2 linked regions of the Macaca mulatta genome follow. The protein of the gene in region 1 interacts with the protein of each later gene in a pairwise test. Links are inferred from orthologs where the notes say so. Each region holds a gene or a part of one and is shown on either strand. Other genes may lie near its edges.

Region 1 (9,303 bases):
AGGTCACTGTTGGTCATGATAAATGGAAAAAAGAGAAGCAGACCTATGTAGTCAAATAAAAATAAGCAAATCATCTAACACTTAAATGTGGTGGTTTCTGTGTGATGACACTGTATATTATCCATTTTAAACAGAATGTTAACCTTGTCATCTAAGTCTGATTGCCAAAGCATATGGATCCTTCTTAAATCTGAAATATCAGCTGCCAGTGCTCAAGGCCATGTTCAGAATGTCTGACATCTTTGAATTCCTACTAGAAACCCAATTATGCAAAGATAGTTTTGAGAAAATTAGTATAATATATACTACCCAATTATGCTTCTCTGTGTTCTCTGCTTTTCCCTATATTAAATTAGGTCACTGGAAGCTGCAACATATTAATATTTGTATATTTACTGTAATATATTGTAGAATTTCATTGCAGTAGTTCTTCAACAACAGATGGTCTACTTTTACATCCAAATTTTTTCATTGCAAATGTTTAAAAATCAGAAGGTTTTATGACTTAATCTTGATTTCTTGTTTCTCTTGGAAAATCAGAAAACTGGGTTAACTGGTCCCACCTTTCCACAGAAAGGGCAAAAATCTACTAAAGATGTGTGGGGCTGCCCCTTGTAATAATGACATGGGAACTCTATCACTGTCTCCACCCCTTACTGAGGTTTTTCAATATCCAGTGTCATTCCTTTACATGATCTGTCTGCCTTCTTTAATCATATGGTATTTGATTCCTCTGTCAGACCTCAGCTATGTAAAGATGAATCCTTTTCCCTCATTGACTTAATAATCTAATGACAGAGATTTGCAGTTCTAAGGAGGAGGTGATGTAGAAACTTTAAAAAGGCTCTTATAAAGGGATTGTATAGTGTGTGTATGTATATGTGTGCATAATATGCATGTATAAAATTTTATATAGGGGTATGCATAATAGCAGTTCTTCATGTAAGGGATGGAATCTCTATCCTACATCCAGAGAAGTGAAAAGTAATTTCTCATTCAAGGAACAATATTGACAGAAGTTTGGCTGGCATATATTTTACTTTTAGTAAATAAATGTAAACACTGGAAAAGCATTGTGTAATCCTTATATTTGATACTAAAGAATTTATGTTTCATGTAGCAGCCTTCCTTGATGGATACCTTGAAGCATCCATTCCATGTAATAAATTAACTTTTCTTCTATTTATCCAGAATGATGATATCAAGGTACTCTCATGGAAAGAATTGAGAAATAGTCACTTGAAGAATTTTCCGTAGGGTTGACAATGGAAACTGTGACACCTCAAAGCAGAAATTATTGGTATGAGGGACCACTAAGGAACAGGAAATCCACCAGGGTGCCACTGGGCATGGAAACTTGAAGTAATAAAAGAGATAAAATCCTGTTCCACAGCAGGGGCAGGAGTCATTCTAAAACAGAGAATAACTCAAGAGGCATTTTATCGGTGTACTATGTGGAACTAATTCATGGATTTGATGTCAACTGAGGATGAAAAAAATTTTGGAGATAAACTTGATGTGTTATTATTCTGATATTACATTGGCCAAGTTAAGAATCTTGGAGGAAAAACACTTGATTTGTGTCCTCTTGACCATTATGATAGTCTGCTTTTTAAAAAGTAAGGTATCAAATACTAATACACATCTAGGTCAGGGACCAGCAAAATGTAATCAATGGGCTCTAGTTGATTATATAAAATATATATGGGAAGTTAATGACTTGAATTACAGTCATGTTGGATTTTAGTTATGTAGAGGAAAAGAATGGAGAGTTTTCAGCAAACAGATAGTAATTGAATCTCTAAGAAGGTTATCTCAATGGTGAGTAAGAGAGAGCCTAGTAGACCTTTTATCCAATATAGATAATAAGAGAGTCTGTCTCCTTCAAGGACTCTTGGTAGGGGAAAAATATGGCCACACGAAACTGACATACCAAGTCACTTCTGTCTATGAGCTTGAATTCCTGCCACTGTTGTGTTTCAGGAATCTCAAAATACAGAAATTGATCCTGAGTGGTAATAAATTCTATATGGTCAACTACAGCCCACAGATTTTTTTTCCTGCCCTCTCAACTAGATTTTCATTAGTATTCAATAAATATGTTTTTAAAAAGCAGGCAATCATAATGGTCAAGAGTATAGACACTGGAGCCAGATACCCAGGTTTGAAACCCATCTTCATAACACTTACCTGTGTGACTTTCAACAAATTCTTTCACTTCTCTTTGCTTTAGTTTTTTTACATGAAAATTGGGTGTAATAACAGTAAATAAATAAATAATTAGCAAGTAAATAAAATAGCTTACCAGCAACTATTAATATACTCACGATACACTTATATTTCTTTGCTACATAACTAGATCCTATATACTGTCGTTATATTTCAGTATTTTGCATTTATATTTGCATTGTGAGATGAATCTATGGTTTTCTTTTTAGAATGATTTACCAATTAGTATTACGTTTATGGATTTAAAAGTTTAACATTATACAATACCAATTTATTATTTCCAAATGTTGAAATTTTATTACAGTAATTTTCTATTCCAAAATGTCTACAATTTAGCTAAAAATTATCTAGTCCTGATAATTTATTGGTTGAAGATCATTATTTGCATTTCTTATCCTTGCCATAAAAAAATGTATTCTCTACTTCTTTAAATTTCTTGCTGTAGTAATCAAAAAGGGCAAATGTTAATATCTTTGTATAGTGTTAGGTTTACAGTGGCTAGTAAGTTGTCAGCTGCATTTTTCATTTTTTTTAAATTTCAGAATTAAAAAATAAACCAGAGTTTTCATTACTAGCTTCAAATGCTTCAATGACAGCTATTAGCAGAAAAATACTAACACGTACAAGAAAGGATTTGTATTCATTTATTTTTCCACAGTAGTATTTCATTACACATAATCCCTAAAACTCAGCCGCTTGCAACAAGCGTTTATGCTCATGCTTAGGGGTGTGCAGGTCAACTGTATTTCAGTGGATGTATTTAAGTAGTGATTTGGGCTGCATGTTAACCTCAGTCTGCTCCAGGTATGTTTGTTCTGTGGCTGTAGCAGCAGCAGCTACCTGAGTCATGCTTTTCTAGTGGCTTGTCACTGAAGATCATAAGCCAGGCCAAAGCACTTAGCCCAGTTTAAGGACACTACTCATGTCATATCTGCTAACATCCATTGTTCAAACAAGTAACATGGCCAAGCCTAATTATGAAGGAACAGGAAGTATACTGGCCATACAGAAGGAGAGGGAATGAAATGAATATTTGATGAACAGTATTATGCTATCAGTTTCATATTAGATGTTTATTTCTGGTATTTTACAAACTCTCCACTTGTACTAAAATAAAGTGAGTCAAGTGTTTTTAGATTCCCCACATATATTTAGCTGAAAAGGACACTCCTCTGTTAAACACAACTATAGATGCGCCTAGTTTTGTGAATTTCAGCTACATTCAGTCCCCACCTGCCCTCCTAGAGGAGTTGCCTTAGTCTGAGCACAGTCCATTCAACCCTATATGATGGCCCTGGGCTTTCCTCAGGCAGAATTGTGAAATTAGAAAATTGCTACTTTGGAGCTCATTTGTTTATACACTCTTCGTCTTTTATTATTCACACCCCACTAGTTACCCACTGTTACTTCAGCCCTTGTCGTGAGGCATTTCATCAAGTTACTTACTGGTATTTGCCTTTACTCCAAACTGCTAATCTTTTCTAGGCGCTTAGCATTTCATGTTTGGTAACTCACAGTGGGTGGTAATAAGCCTTTTCATCATATTTAACCTTTCGGTCTGTGTAAACTGTGCTTCTCCTAAAGCAGAAGTCTAATAGGAATTTTGTTCATTACCTTCCTGATGGCTTCTAGAAATGTCATCACATAAACATTTCATATTTATATCTTTTTTTGCCTAAATTTTATTTTGGGTCAATTCAAATAATTTATTAATGTCTATTAATATGAAATAGAAATTGTTAAATATTTCAGAAAAACTACTTTCATATAATTTATCTATATAATGAAACAGTTTTTTTCATATATCTATAAATAGATACCGGAGCCTCTAGTTATCCAATGAGGGTTACATGTTCATGGTTACATATGGTACATAATTTTAATACCATATTTGTTTCATCTTCAAATTTGAAAGTACTTTTGCTATAAGTTTCCTAAAAATATGTAATACTTTTTTTTCAATTTAGATTAAATCTCTTGATGAACAGTGTGTGGTTGGCAAAATTTCCAAGCACTGGACTGGAATTTTGAGAGAGGCATTTACAGATGCTGATAACTTTGGAATCCAGTTCCCTTTAGACCTTGATGTTAAAATGAAAGCTGTAATGATTGGTGCCTGTTTCCTCATTGTAAGTCTGTTCTTATTAATCTTGATTATAGATGTTTTCTCTATATGCTTTCTACTAATCATTCTGAAATGATTCAGTAAAGTGTATAATTCAAAATGACTTTTTAAAATTTATAGATTTTTAAATCAGGATTCCCATTTAATCCTAGCTCTGAAATTCTATTTGATCCTGACACTCTGGGGTGACTAGTTTCTGTCTGAAGAGTCTATGAATATTCACATGGCAAGAGAGGGACTAAGGAGGCGTACTGAGGAGAGATTTTAGTCTCCCCTTAAATCAGCCATCTCCTACATGCTTTGAAGAAATTGAAAGCGGGCATATGTGGAAAAAATTTAGTGAAACAAGGAAACTTGACCATGACTCATAGTAATTAAATTAAACCATCTAATATGGGAGTATGAACTACAGTAAGAGTGTGCATTCACTCAAGTGTGTAGACCTAACTACCGAATTACAGGAGATAATCGGATATACCAGTGATTCTGAAATTGTCTTCACATTAGAATCACTTAGGGACCTTTAAAAACTGTAAGTACTAGTCCATACCTCAGTTCAACTGAGTCAAACTTCGAAGTTCATATAGTGCTCCAGGTGGTTCCAATATGCAGCCACAGATGAGAATTATGGGGATAGAGAAAAAGTCACATTTAGAGAAAATGACCGGAAGATTAATTAAATTCATACAGGTATCAATACATGAATAGAATTATAAAATTTATTATTAAAATGGAAAGCTAAAGGTAGAACTTATATAACTATAGAGCTTTTCTGTGTTTATTACATTTAATTTTTTTAACAGATATGTTACTGTGTTTCACTAGATCCCTTAGTATTTCTGCATCTGATCATTGATCTCTGTTTTGTTGCTGAAAATTCATTTGTATATTTTTGTTTTTATCTAGGATTTCATGTTTTTTGAAAGCACTGGCAGCCAGGAACAAAAATCAGGAGTGTGGTAGTGGATTAGTGAAAGTCTCCTCAGGAAATCTGAAGTCCGTAAATTGATTGAGACTATCTAAACTCATACCTGTGTGAATTAAGCTGTAATGCCTGTAGCTCTGGTTGTATACTTTTGCTTTTCAAATTATAGTTTATCTTCTGTATAACTGATTTATAAAGGTTTTTGTACATTTTTTAATACTCATTGTGAATTTGAGAAAAAGGGCATCTGAGTTTTTGCATTTATTAATGAAACTTCCTATAAAAAACTGCTTTGAATTATGATCTCTGATCCACTGTCCATTTTACTACCGAATATTAACTAAGGCCTTATTAATTTTTATATAAATTATATTTTAAATCTAGTTACAATTTATTTCATGCATAATAGCTAATGTTATTTTGCAAATGCCATATATTCAAAAAAGTTCAAAGATAATTTTCTTTACTGTTATGTTCAAATAATATTCAATATGTATATTATCTTTAAAAAGTTAAATGTATTTTTTTAATCTTCAAGAAATCATGCTACACTTAACTTCTCCTAGAAGCTAAGCTGTACCATAAATGATACATTCATGTTCACAAGATATTAAATTACCAGTTTTTAAATTATTGTTAAATAAAGAACAAAATAAAGAACAAAATGATTCTTGTCCAAAGAAAGGCACATTTTAAACACTCCTTCACTCTAAAACTCGTACTATTATAAATTTTGAAAGTTAATATTTATATATGAAATGTATAGCTTTTATACTCTATCCTTTCTAGAAAATGGTAATTTTCAGATGTTAATTAAATATAATATTATATATATATATTCACAGAAAATAAACCTAAATAATGATCTATTAGATTCAAATATTTGAAATAAAAACTTGATTTTTTTGTATATTTGACTTTTGTTTTTAAACAAAATGTGTTCAGATGGTATTTTGAACACTCATTCAGTTAAATGATGGTACATTTGAAGCAGGATATTTCCCTGACCCCTTCCTGGGACTCGAGAAGGGGTGTCTTGTTTACTCAGCCTGCCACTCTCAACTCCTCCTGGGAGGGAGTGCGCAGGCAAACAAGGCAGGAACTGGAGTGCACAAGCACTGGAACTGGCTGACCGCTTTGGCACGGGCAAGAGCAAACTCCGTGCACGCCCTGTGGTAGCAACCAGGTGTGGTTGCCTGCGATTCCTGAAGCCCCAGAAGGTGTGTTACGGTGCTCTTTTACCTCTGCAGTCTGTGGACAGCTTAAGTGTTAACAGCTCCGTGAGCCCTTTGTCTTGTCACGTGGGACAGCTGCCCTCCACCAGCAAGGGCAAAGGGCGAGTGTTAGTGCCTTTTATATCTGCACTCATGGCTCCCAGGCTCTTGTCCGGCGTCCAGGAAAAATGTGGTCACAAAAACAACTGAAGGATGGTAAATGCGGGGATTTTATTGCTGAGGAAAGTGACTCTCAGTGGAAAAGGGAGCTGAAAAGGGGACAGTGGGGTAGGTGATCTTCCCCTGAAGTCTAGCCATCTCCAGCTGGATTCTTCTCTGAAGTTACACTGTCAAGCTATCCCTCTGAAGTCAAGCTGCTTCTCTCCAATGTCCAGCCATAGTCTCCACTCCTCTCTGACTGAGTCTGGGGTCTTTGTAGGCACAGGATTGCGGGCAGGGAGAGCCATGGGCAGTTTAGGAAAAGGCAACATTCAAGGAGAAAAACATGGATATAAATTCTCACTTTGGGCCAGGGTTTCAGGCATTTCAGCTTGGAGGTAGAGTTTTCACTGGGGACTCACCCTTTTCTGCCTAGAATTTCTCTGCCTCCTGTCCCCATCATGTTTAACTGCCTTTTCCTTTCAAATCTCCTTTAAAAAGGAGCAAGTACATGACACTTTGTAGTAAAATCTGTACCAGAGTTGGAAACTAGGTTTTCCACCTGTCAGAAGCTGGTAAGAATTTAGTAATCTCTTTTGTAATGAAGATTGAGTTGAAAGATGACATGAACAACCCACAATATTCCTCACGCAATGGAAAAGTGTGCTTAAGCAATAAGGGCATGTGGAAGAGTCTCTCTTTCATAGTCAGCACAATTCTTATAACAGCAGCTCTCCTCATGGTGTTAGTGCCCTAGACCTCAATAGCTCCAAATGGCAAGTGGTGAGAACATTAGTATGCAGGAGATCTTCAAGAAAAGCCAAGTCTAGATGATTTCCCACAAGCCTAAACAAATCGCCAGATGCCACATTCCAGTGATGAAGTGTACCCATGGAACTCACTCAGAGCGTGTGCTTGGTAGAGATAGCATGTCAAGAAAAGTGGAGGTACTTGCATAGCTGAATCCCAATGGCATTGTTACGCCAGTTACAGAAGAGAGTGGAAATAGGATTTCCAAACTGGCCCTAATGTGTCAAAACTGACCCAAAATAAGGCTTAGAGTACTGACATTATCTCTGTGACAGCTACATCTTACTTTCATTATTTGTCTCTCTCTAAACAGGATTCTGAATCTTTGGTTAAGTAAAATAAAGCTAAACTGATCTAAACATTTTTTTTCTTCAACTCTGCAAAGAAGATCTGAGCAAAACCCCACATATTTTCTGCAGAACCTATACTAGACAAATATCTTATCATTGCATAATTACATAGAGAAAAATAATCACACATGAAAAAATCGATATATAATTAAGAAAATACCAGGAATTGTTTTTCAAAGTTTAACTGTAATCTTAATGAGATTTGAGGAAATGTTGCATATTTTTTTATTTCTGCTATGTGAGTTATAACAGTGAATGGAAAGTCACTGCGTGTGCCTGACTAGGGAAAATGTTGAGGAGGAAAAGCTGCAATGGATAAGCATGGAGCTGTATTTTTGGTCTTGGGAAGAAAGTTCTAGGTAGGTGGTCAGTGAGGAATGGGGAGAATGGGGAGGGAGGAGGAAGACAAGATTTAAGGGATGTCAGTACCTCTCCTATGTACCTCTTGGGGGAGGGTTGAAGAGTGAGGGGCGTGTAAGTGAAAGCAGAGACAAGGCTGGGAGAGGAAAAAACAAAAAGCACCAGCCACAGGCAATTAAGTTGCCAGAAAATCGGTGTCTGGGCTCCCAGCATCAAGTTAGCTAGCTACTCTAGGCATAAGTACTAAAGCTTTAACTGCATTTGGGCTAAAAGAGCGACTGTAACTTTAGGGTAACTAGAAAAGACTCTGTAGAGAATCCCTGCCATCAGTAAGAATGGAATGATTTAAAATGTCTCTGGGCACAATGAAGTGCTCCGAGTGCTTAAAGTGCCAGATAAGTGTACAGGGTTTCCCTCCATATGCTGCCTCTCTCCTTTCCTGTCCCTAGCCCAGCATACACTGCCTGAGTTTCCTAGGACCACGTTCCTGCACCTGGCACTGTCTCTTCAAGCTCTGTGCTCCTCCTTATGCCTTCATTTCCCTCAATAGTCAATAGTATCGTTGTCAATTGATTATGTTATCTACCTTATAAGGTCAGTGTGAAGATTCAGTATTTTAATGCAGGTTCAGAGACCTGAGCAGGTTCCTGCAGTAGAACCAGTGTAAAAAATGAAAAGGGCTATGTGTTGATAAAAATCAATGGGTTTCGAAACACCGGGAAGTGTCTCAAAGCCAATGAGGAAGATTTGGGCTAAATTAAATTTCTGTGTTATGATTTGAATAGCAAATAAAATTCATTTAAACCCTAGGAAGAATACTATCTCCTCAAAAAAAAAAAAAAAAAAAAGATGTCTATGCAAGATGCCAAGCTAGGGAATGATGTTCATCTCACAGAAGTGTAGATTAAAGGAAATTAAGGCATGGGGAGAACACAGTCTCTGGCTTCTGCGTTAGAGTCCTTTTTTTTTTTTTTTCTTAGCCTTATAGTGTCAAAATGTGGCAAGCCATTTTAAGAGAGGGACAGAAGCTGGGCTCAGTGACTCTTTCCTGTAACCCAGCACTCTGGGAGGCCAAGACAGGTGGATCACCTGAGGTCAGAGGTCAGGAGTTCAAGACCAGCCTGGCCAAAA
Region 2 (10,472 bases), on another chromosome or scaffold:
AGTGCAGTGGCATGATCTTGGCTCACTGCAACCTCCGCCTCCCGGGTTCAAGCAATTCTCCTGCCTCAGCCTCCCAAGTAGCTGGGATTACAGGCACCTGCCACCATGCCCGGCTAATTTTTGTATTTTTAGTAGAGATGGGGTTTCACCATCTTGGCCAGGCTGGTCTCAAACTCCAGACCTCGTGATCCACCTGCCTCTCGGCCTCCCAAAGTGCTGGGATTACAGACATGAGCCACCACGCCCAGCTGGCAGTTCATCTTTTAAGTCACAGCTGGGTGTCACTCCACAGGCAAAACTTCTTCAAACACTGAACAAAGTTGTCCCTGGAACTCCTACTGATGCTCATTCACCAAACCCTGTCCACTACTGGTCTCCAAACTCTAATTCAGGGGAAAAAATTCCGGGCGGGGGAGGGAGGGGTGCTGAAATGTGGCTAAGAGATGAAGGCCTGTGATTAAGTCTGTGGCTATCTGTTATTTCCATCTCCCATCAGTAATGAGGACAAGCCACTCCTCTGCATTGCTAACCCATCCACCCCCACGGCCTGAGGCAGTGTGCACACCTGCATAGTTCACAGAGTTAATAAAGGTAAGAGCAGGTCTCTTGTTAACCTGGAGTTAACAAGTGGGTGAGAATGTTCTCTTCAGTGTAAACAAAGGGCAAAGGTGCATAATTCATCTCCATCCCTTTACTTATGCAAGACCTCTTTAGAGAAACAATTGGGCAACACTTCAAAGTAGAAGACCTTCAGGGAGATGTTGAAATTAGTAGATAAACCCAACTCCCAATTTACAAGAGATAAAGAAGACAGAATATTTGTTAAATTTTTGAGAATATTTGCCTCAGGGAGGCAGCAAAATCTAGACTACCCAAAGCCTGCAAGACAAATGACCTGTTTTCTCCAACAAATTAATTGCAAAGACCAAAAAACCCCTAGAGATTAACAGATTTAGAATATAAAATACCAAACAAGGCCAGCCTGGCGGCTCACGCCTGTAATCCCAGCACTTTGGGAGACCGAGGTGGGCAGATCATGAGGTCAGGAGTTCGAGACCAGCCTGACCAACATGGTGAAACCCCATCTCTACTAAAATTACAAAAATTAGCCGGGCGTGGCGACATAAGCCTGTAATCCCAACTGCTCGAGAGGCTCAGGCAGGAGAGTCGCTTGAATCCAGGAGGCGGAGGTCAAAGTGAGCCGAGATCGTCCCACTGCACTTCAGCCTGGGCAACAAAGTGAGACTCTCTCTCAAAAAAAGAAGATACAAAACAATTACAAAACACTGACTATATACAAATGAAATTTTTTTTTTTTTTTTTTTTTTTTTGGAAATGGAGTCTCGCTCAGTCTCCCAGGCTGGAGTGCAGTGGCAATCTCGGCTCACTTCAAGCTCTGCCTCCTGGGCTCACACCATTCTCCTGCCTCAGCCTCCCAAGTAGTTAGGGACTACAGGCGCCTGCCACCACGCCTGGCTAATTTTTTTTGTATTTTTAGTAGAGACGGGGTTTCACCATGTTAATCAGGATGGTCTCAATCTCCTGACCTCGTGATCTGCCCACCTTGGCCTCCCAAAGTGCTGGGATTACAGGCGTGAGCCACCGTGCCCGGCCTTTACAAATGAATTTTTTAAAAGTTTTATGACATTTAATAAATTACAAATTTGAACATTAACTGGATATGTGATTATTTTTTATTTAAATTTTTAAAAGGGCCGGGTACAGTGGCTCATGCCTGTAATCCCAGCACTTTGGGCAGCCGAGGAGGGCGGATCATCTGAGGTCAGGAGTTCAAGACCCGCCTGGTCAACATGGCAAAAACCTGTCTCTATTAAAAATACAAAAATTAGCCAGGCGTCATGGCAGGCGCCTATAATCCCAGCTACTCAGGAGGCTGAGGCAGGACAATTGCTTGAACCCAGGAGGTTGCTGTGAGTTGAGATCGCACCACTGCACTCCAGCCTGGGCGACAGAGTGAGACTGTCTCAAAAGAAAAAAAAAAAAAAAAAAAAATCAAACAAAGATGTAAGCCTGGGCAACATGGCAAAACCCCGTCTCTCCAGAAAGTACAAAAATTAGCCAGGCATGGTGGCACGTGCCTGCGGTGCCATCTACTCAGGAGGATGAAGTGGGAAGATTGCTTGAACCCAGGAGCTCAAGGCTGCAGTGAGCCGAGATCACACCACTGCACTCCAGCATGGATGACAGAGTAAGACCCTGTCTCAAAAAAAAAAAAAAGATTGGGGGTACAACTGCAGTTTTGTTACATGGATATATTGCACACTGATGAAGTCTGCATTTTTAGTGTGCTCATCACCCAAACAGTACTGTACCCATTAGGCAGTTTCTCTCTCTTGACTCGCCTCCCACCTTTCCATGTCCCCAAGACCTATTATTACACTCTCTATGTCCATGTTATTTATTGAATTATTTTTTTGAGGCGGAGTCTTGCTCTGTTGCCCAAGCTGGAGTGCAGTCGTGCGATCTTAGCTTACTGCAACCTCCACTGCCCGTGTTCAAGTGATTCTCCTGCCTCAGTCTCCCAAGTAGCTAGGATTACAAGCAGGCACCACCATGCCCAGCTAAATTTTGTATTTTTAGTAGAGACGGGGTTTCGCCATGTTGGCCAGGCTGGTCTCGAACTCGCAACCTCAAGTGATCCACCCACTTCAGCCTCCCAAAGTGCTGGGATTACAGGCGTGAGCCACCATGCCTGGCCTATTTTTTTATTATTAATTTTTTCATGTATGATTCTTAGACAGAGTCTTGCTCTGTTGCCCAGGCTGGAGTGCAGTGACATGATCTCTGCTCACCACAACCTCCATTTCCCAGGTTCAAGCTATTCTTGTGCCTCAGCCTCCCAAGTAGCAGGGATTACAAGTACCCACCACCACTTCCAGCTAATTTTTGTATTTTTAGTAGAGGCAGGGTCTCACCATGTTGGCCAGGCTGGTCTCAAATTCTTGACCTCAAATGATCCACCCGCCTCAGCCTTCCAAAGTGCTGGGATTACAGGCGTGAGCCACCACGCCAGGCCAGTATTGTATTTATTTTATTTTTTTAAAAACAATGCACCAAAACATTTATTCAAGATAATATGGGGGAATTTACTTCCATACCATATTACTTTGTGTGGGATTTACTTAAAAATAATATAGGGCTCACGCCTGTAATCCCAGCACTTTGGGAGGCTGAGGTGGGTGGATCACAACGTCAGGAGTTCGAGACCAGCCTGATCAACATGGTGAAACCCGTCTGACCAACACGGTGAAACCCCGTCTCTACTAAAAATACAAAAAATTTGCCAGGCATAGTGGCAGGCGCCTGTAGTCCCAGCTACCGGGGAGGCTGAGGCAGGAGAATGGCGTGAACCCAGGAGGCGGAGCCTGCAGTGAGCCGAGATCGTTCCACTGCACTCCAGCCTGGGCGACTGAGCGAGACTCCGTCTCAAAACAAAACAAAACAAAACAAAACAAAAAATAATAATAAGGGGATAAGGATGTAGGTAGACATATAGATTGGCAGTGAGTGAACAATCACTGATATTGTTTAAAGCGGCCATGAGTTGCTAATTGCTAACTCTGGGGGATGGGTACATGGATATGTTACTATTTGATTAATCTCTCTGATTTTGCATGTATTCGGAATTCTCCATAATATAAAGCTAAAGATGACTAAATCACATGTGAGAGACCCCTGCTACTTTATAAGCATAGACAATCCCACTCCTACAGTTCACACAGGTCAGCTCCCTGGCTGTTAGGACTAGAAAAGTGTAAGATGCAGCTACACAAAGCTGGAGGGGCGCCCCAGGCAGGTTGAGATTTGGAGACACTCTTGAAGCAAACCGTCTGTGTGAACACACACACATACATGTGGAGTCCCACGCACCGACCCCGGTGCAGCCCCCTCCCTGGCTCGTACCCCTCTTCTGTGCGAAGAGCAGCAGCAGGCAGGTGAGACCTTTGAGCACTTCCGCCATGACCACAGCAGTGGTGGCAAAGAAGCGGTCCCCTGGCAACGTGCGGGCGTAGCGGATGCTGAGGATGAGGGAGGCATTCTGGACCACCAGCACAGCTAGGGATATGTACTTCAGGCGCCTGTGAGCTGTGGGGAACGGAAGGGGCAAGGGGGAAGGAGGGGGTCAGAAGCCGCTAGGGCATAGCCACACCACCACCCACCCCCTCTCCTTTCTCACCCAGGACCCTCCTAGCCACCGCTACTTGTTCCCTCAGCCTGCCTTCTTCACCCAATGAGGGTCTGACTCCTACCGCCTTACTGCCTCAGCCACAAGCAGGAAGAGCCAGAAGGGAGAAATGGGCCCCACCCTGTCCAGTCCATACCTGGAATCCTTACCGAGGTTTCAGGTAATGGCTGAGGCAAGCTCTGGCCACGCGCCTCGGCTCCCGCCCAAGTGAGAAGCAAATCCTCCCCAGACAGAATACCGACAACTATGTTCTCCACGTTTACTGAGTGTTTACTGTATGCATATCACTGGGTTAAGGGATTTCTATGGATTACCTCAATAGACTCATATCATTGTCATCTCCAAAAGAACTGCGAGGATTCCCATTTACGGATGAGCAAACTGAGAATGTATATGAAATGATGCTTCTATTTAACGAGGGACTGTCTCATGTAAAGAATAATACATCAATGCAGGGAATGAGGCCACTGTATGAGGTATGTTCACCCCCTAAGGAAAGGTCTTTCTCCCATCTAAGAAATGATTCGATTCCCTCACTCTCAGAATGGCCTACATCCCATATGGAATGATCCTCCTCATACCCAGAATGGTCTCTCCAACCCCTCCCTCCTGTGACAACTGGTTCCTCCCGACCCAGAATAGTCTACTAAATACAAGAAATGATTCCCCCATGCTCCCAGGGACTGAATCCTGTAACAGGAATGGTTATCCCACCAAGAAAGGTCTGGCTCCCTCAACCAGATGAGGAAATATTTCCCTGCACTCCACATGGTCCGTCCTCCCACCACCGCGCACCGACCCTCTAGCTAATGCTCTACCCACAATCACAATCTTTGCTCTACCCACAATCACAATCGGCTCTCTCTGCTATACGGAAGGACCTGGCACCCTCAGAACGTTCTTTTTCCACCATATAACGATGAGCCCTCCCACCCGAACGTACAATGAACTCTACCTCCATTAGGAAGGGGGCCCCCAGAACGGTTTCCTCCGCACATAATGAAGGACACCATCATCCTCAAAATGGACCCTCTCTAGTCACATAAAGAAGGACTCGCCCCACCCTAACTCACAATAGTCTCTCTGTCCTTTTATAAGGAAGGAAGCACCACCCTCAGAATAGTCTCCCACTTCTTCAGTGAAGAACTCCCACGCCCGCAGAATGGTCTCTTCCACAAGGAAGGACCCCACATATTCAGAATGGTTTCGGTGCCCTTAGCCTTCCCAAAAAGAATTACCCTCCACACTCATAATGGTCCATATGCGGAAGGATCCCACAAGCACTCTCAGAATGTTTTCTTCCCCGCCCCCAACACACTCACAATGTGCACACACAGACACACACAGACACACACACACACGTCGGTCCACACGGGATGCTCCCTCTCACTTTAGTGAGGAACATTCCCGACACCCAGCGATCCCGACCTCTGCCTCCCATGCGACTGCTCGGACACAGACTGTCTCACCCGCACTAGCAGTCCCCGGCTCTAATGCACCCGCGGAAAGCGCCCCTGGCCCGGCCGCCGCGGTGGAACCACCAGCCCCAACCGCTGCCATGTTGGCATTTGCCCGGCCCGTCCCCTCGGTAACAGCAGACCACTTCCGTGTTCGTCACTTCCGCTTCCAGGCCGCCTGAGTGAAGGTGGGTCGAGAGCCGGGATCGTCAGGGTGGTCGCTTTTCTCCTTCGCTCCTAAAAGCTCAACGTAAGAGTAGCCCCGGGATTTCCAAATTCCGTCGGATCTGGATGCCGGGGACACGGCCCGATCGGCCTACCCACCGCCCCTACAGAGCTTCATCGGCCCATTCCTGTCACTAGACCCGCCTTGTCCTGCTGTTCGTCCGCTTCACTGATCGCGTTTTCCAGATCACCCCCCGATCCCGTCTCCTAGTCTCATTGGCTAAGCCATCCCTCTTTCATCTCGGCTTTTTATTGGCAGCTTCTCCACAAGGCACCGCCCCTTCCGAATCAGAAACTCCCAGGTGCTTCCTGGTTGGACTGAAGTTCCGCTTTCCCGTCTTCCAGCGAGGCCCCACCCTCTGGAAAGCACAGGGGAATCTGGGGACCAAGAAACTTTGACCTGTGGGGTCGGGTGAGGGCGTACTGGCTGAAGCATCAGGTGCGAGTCAGGCATGTAATAGCAGATAAAAGCAGAGCAGGTGAGGATAAACAAGTGAAAATGAAAAGGAAAGTTGACGCAGAGAAGACAAGTGAGTCACCAATGAGGATGGCAAATAAAGGGGACAGGCGAAAGGCTCACAGTTAGCTAGCATTTGGAAGCAGGGCAAGAGTCCGGGCCAGGGGCGGTGGCTCACGCCTGTAATCCCAGCACTTTGGGAGGCTGAGCCGGGCCGATCACCTGAGCTCAGGAGTTCCAGCCTGGGCAAAATGGCAAAACCCCGTTTCTACTTAAAAAAAAAAAAAAAAAAAAAAAAATTAGCCGCATGTAGTGGTATGCACCTGTACCCAGCTACTCGGGAGGCTGAGACAGGAGAACCGCTTGAACCCGGGAGGCGGAGGTTGCACTGAACCGAGACAAATAAGCAGGGCAAGAGAGGTGACAGCCGAGGTCGGAGCATGTGAAACCAACATGGAATAGGGCAGGCCAGGTAAGTCAAGTGTTGAAGGAAAAATTAGAGGGATGGGTATGTAAGGGTAAAGATGGGGGAGAGGCTAAAGATTAAGAGCAAAACAGGGTGGATGCGGTGGCTCACGCCTGTAATCCCAGCACTTTGGGAGGCCGAGGCGGGCGGATCACAAGGTCAGGAAATCGAGACCATCCTGGTGAACACGGTGAAACCCCGTTTCTACTAAAATGCAAAAAATTAGCCGGGCGTGGTGGCGGACGCCTGTAGTCCCAGCTACTCGAGAGGCTGGGGCAGGAGAATGGTGTGAACCCAGGAGGCAGAGGTTGCAGTGAGCCGAGATCGCACCACTGCACACCAGCCTGGGAGACGGAGCAAGACTTTTGTCTCAAAAAAAAAAAAAAAAAAAAAAAAGCAAAACAGGTGACTACACCCTGGACAGATTCCAGTCAGTGCCCAACTCCAGCCCCGCCCTCATCAGTACCCTGATAGGGCTCTTCTCCAACAGGGAAAAGGGCTTCCTCCTTCCCCTGGGGTGCCAGGGAAGGTATTTTATCTGCTTCTGAGATGGCCATCTTGATTGGGGATGTACCCTAAACACCTTCCACCTTCATGCACAGTATCTCCAACAGACAGCCCTTCTACACATACTGGGCGCTGCTTAAGATCAGGGGCAGGGGGAATCAAGATTTTTTGTTTTTTGTTTTTTTTGTGGTGCAGTTTCAAGAACCCTTAAAGGTCTTTAGGATGGCAACATAAGACTGTGGCTTCCTGAGGACAAAGCAGAGGGACAGTCTATCTCAGTGCAAAGTAGATGCTCCATAAAAGCCTCACACCTACAAATGGCCAGCCGCTTCTGATTCTATTACTTTTATTAAATAGTGGGTTTCCACACATGGCTTTTTAAATAATCCAGGCAGGGGGAGAAGAGAGGAGGTCACACTTGGAACTCCCCTCCCCACAATACGTGATTATTTACATTTTAGCAACTGGACAATCCCGGCTCAGGAGGAGGTTGCAAGAATCTGCAAAAGTTGGAGGGGGGCGCCCCAGGAGAACAAACAGCAAGCCTCATTTCCCCTAGCCCATCCCCCAAAAAACCATCCATCCCATCCTAGTGTCTGGTGGTGTCCGGTGGTGTCCATCTTCCATTCCTTCCCAAATTATGGAAGTAAGGTTCTTCTCACCAGAATAAGAGCACTTGGGATAAGAGTAGGGTCCCCTCACCCAAAAAAAAAAAAAAAAAAAAAAAAAAGGAAAAAGAAAAAAGCCTTGGGTAACAGCAGGGCATTACCTCCCCCAGAATAAGGACTCCTGGGCTGAGGCAGGTAAGCAGCTTGACCCAATATGGGACCCTAGGCTAGGGGAAAGGGTCCCTTTACTAAAATAAAAGCAATTGGGGTATTGGAAGGAAAGCACCCTTGCCCAAGTAAGAGCATATGAACTAAGTTTGTGTGGTGGTAGTAGGAGGTGCCAATGTGGGGGTGACACGTCATCAGAATAAGAGTCCTGGGGCTCAGAATGGGAACAACTTCACTGAAATAAACTTCCTTAGCAAAATGAGAAGCAAGAACTTCCCCCTCCAGAATCAGGGACCACAGGTTCTGGGAGGAAGGCTCCTTTGTAGGATTGGGAAGGGAACTGGGCAGACTTGGTTTATGTCTTCTAACCCCTGATCCTCAATCCCTTACCTTAGTAATACTGGACTTTAATAACCGGTAATGACCTGTAAAACCAAGTCAACAAATGTCCGTCTATCCCTGTGACATGGCCATGGGATGGCTCTTCCGACCACTGGGGGCCAGACCAGGCCAGGCTTAGGGTAGCAAGGACCAGGCCAAAGGGGCGGGGCCTCCTTTGGGGGGGTTGAGGGGTGCATCCTCGGCTGGTGTTTGCATCCAGGGGTCTAGCAGGATCTCTTCCAGTGAGGGTCGGGAAGAAGGTTTGGGGGCCAGGCACCGGCGGATTAGGGCACAGCAGTCTGTGGGCCAAGAAGCAGAGGGAAGATTAGCAGTCAGTAGGGGGTACTGATCCCTGAGAGGGATGGAGTCTTCTGGGCTGGGGTCAGTGAGGCCTCACCTGGGGAGACATGAGCAGGGAAGTGGAGCTCAGCTTCCAGAATCTCCTGGTCCCTCTCGAAGGGAATGTCCCCACACACCATGTCATAGAGGAGGATACCCAGTGACCAGACAGTGGCTGGGAGTGCATGGTACTGGTGTCGAGAGATCCACTCTGGGGGACTGTACACCCTTGTCCCTGCACACAAGCCAGGGGTTAGACCACTCACTCTCATGATGCCCTTCTCCAACCCCAAACTCCCCAGGAAGGATGGCCTCACCACAATTAAGAGCACTCAAGATAAAAGCAGAGTCCCCTCACTAGATAAAGAGCAGCTAAAATAAATAGCAGAGTCCCCTCAACAGAATAAAAGCATTGAGAAGTAACAGGATCCCTTTACCAGAGAAAGGATACTGAGGATAGTAACAGGATACCCTCACCAGAATAGGAGCCCAGAATAAGGTTAGCGCACTGTTAAAAGATGGACTTTATCAGAGGGCAAGGCTGAGAATCCCCAGTATTAGCAATCGATCATCTTATACAGATGCAGTATGGGTCAAGGATTACAGGATACCCCACCACTGGAGGCCAAAGGTCACGAGTCCATCAAGTAAAAACAATCCCTCCAGGGAGATTTAGAGAAGCCTTACCATCAAAGTCAGTGTAGGGTTCATCATGGAGCAGGGCACCAGAACCAAAATCAATGAGTTTGGCACAGCCACGGCGTAGGTCTATCAGGATGTTCTCATCCTTGATGTCACGATGGACAACTCCACGGGCATGGCAATGCTGGATGGCTGCCACTACTTGACCAAAGAAGCAGCGGCTTGGGCCTTCACCCAGCGGGCCCTTCTCTGTGATATAGTCAAAGAGATCCTGGGCAGGCAAAGGCCGCTCGAGGACCAGCATGAAGCCCTCTTGTGTCTCAAACCAGTCAAGCAGGCGGATCACGCCAGGGTGCCCACCGCCTGCACCCACTTTCCATAGCAGTGCCACTTCGAGTGGGCATGTGACTGAGTCTGACTGGGGGAACAGGTAGGGTGGGAAGCAGAGAGAGAAAAAAGACAGATGTCAGGGCAACAGCTCTGAGGCTTTTTACCTAAGCTCAAATTAGGGTCCCTTCTCCTGACAGTGTGTTGTTGAGCAACTCACTTCCCTTCCTGGGCCTCAGTTTCCCTAAAGACACAAACTCACACAGTGATTGAGAGGGTGAAACCAGCAAAGAGCCTGCACAAGTCTTGCATGTAGTAGATCAATAAACATTTGAATAAACGAAAGTTTGGCCGGGCACAGAGGCTCATCCCTGTAATCCCAGCACTTTGGGAGGCTGATGTGGGTGGATTGCTTGACCCCAAGAGTTCAAGATCAGCCTGGGCAAAATGGCAAGACCCTGTCTCTACACAAACACAAAAATTAGCCAGGTTTGATGAAATGCACCTGTAGTCCCAGCTACTCGGGAGGCTGAGGTGGGAGGGTCCCTTGAGCCCAGAAGGGAAAGGTTGCAGTGAGCCAAGATCGCACCACTGCACTCCAGCTGTCTCAAAACCAACAAAAATAGAAAAAACTGGTTTTTAACAAAAGGCCTTCAGCAGAAGCAGCACCATTATGTGGTATTTTGTT

Evidence for each region.
Region 2: the proteins of PLSCR1 (region 1) and SLC35A2 interact in a two-hybrid assay, tested with the Homo sapiens proteins (2 studies listed by BioGRID and IntAct). The two-hybrid records come from large-scale screens. The link is inferred for Macaca mulatta from reciprocal best matches to the Homo sapiens genes PLSCR1 and SLC35A2.

The regions. Positions count from the first base shown.
Region 1 is NC_133407.1:49,497,641-49,506,943, reverse strand, and holds the end of PLSCR1 (phospholipid scramblase 1), read left to right. Parts: intron 1-4,196; coding exon 4,197-4,358; intron 4,359-5,260; coding exon 5,261-5,317; 3' UTR 5,318-5,710; downstream 5,711-9,303. UniProt on the Homo sapiens protein: Catalyzes calcium-induced ATP-independent rapid bidirectional and non-specific movement of phospholipids (lipid scrambling or lipid flip-flop) between the inner and outer leaflet of the plasma membrane resulting in collapse of the phospholipid asymmetry which leads to phosphatidylserine externalization on the cell surface.
Region 2 is NC_133426.1:48,982,160-48,992,631, forward strand, and holds the start of SLC35A2 (UDP-galactose translocator), read right to left. Parts: upstream 6,091-10,472; 5' UTR 5,768-6,090; coding exon 5,677-5,767; coding exon of another isoform or gene 5,669-5,676; intron 4,429-5,668; coding exon of another isoform or gene 4,344-4,428; intron 4,108-4,343; coding exon 3,925-4,107; intron 1-3,924. Other genes in the region: PIM2 (serine/threonine-protein kinase pim-2), read right to left, coding at 8,612-8,775, 8,874-9,050, 9,503-9,875. UniProt on the Homo sapiens protein: Transports uridine diphosphate galactose (UDP-galactose) from the cytosol into the Golgi apparatus, functioning as an antiporter that exchanges UDP-galactose for UMP.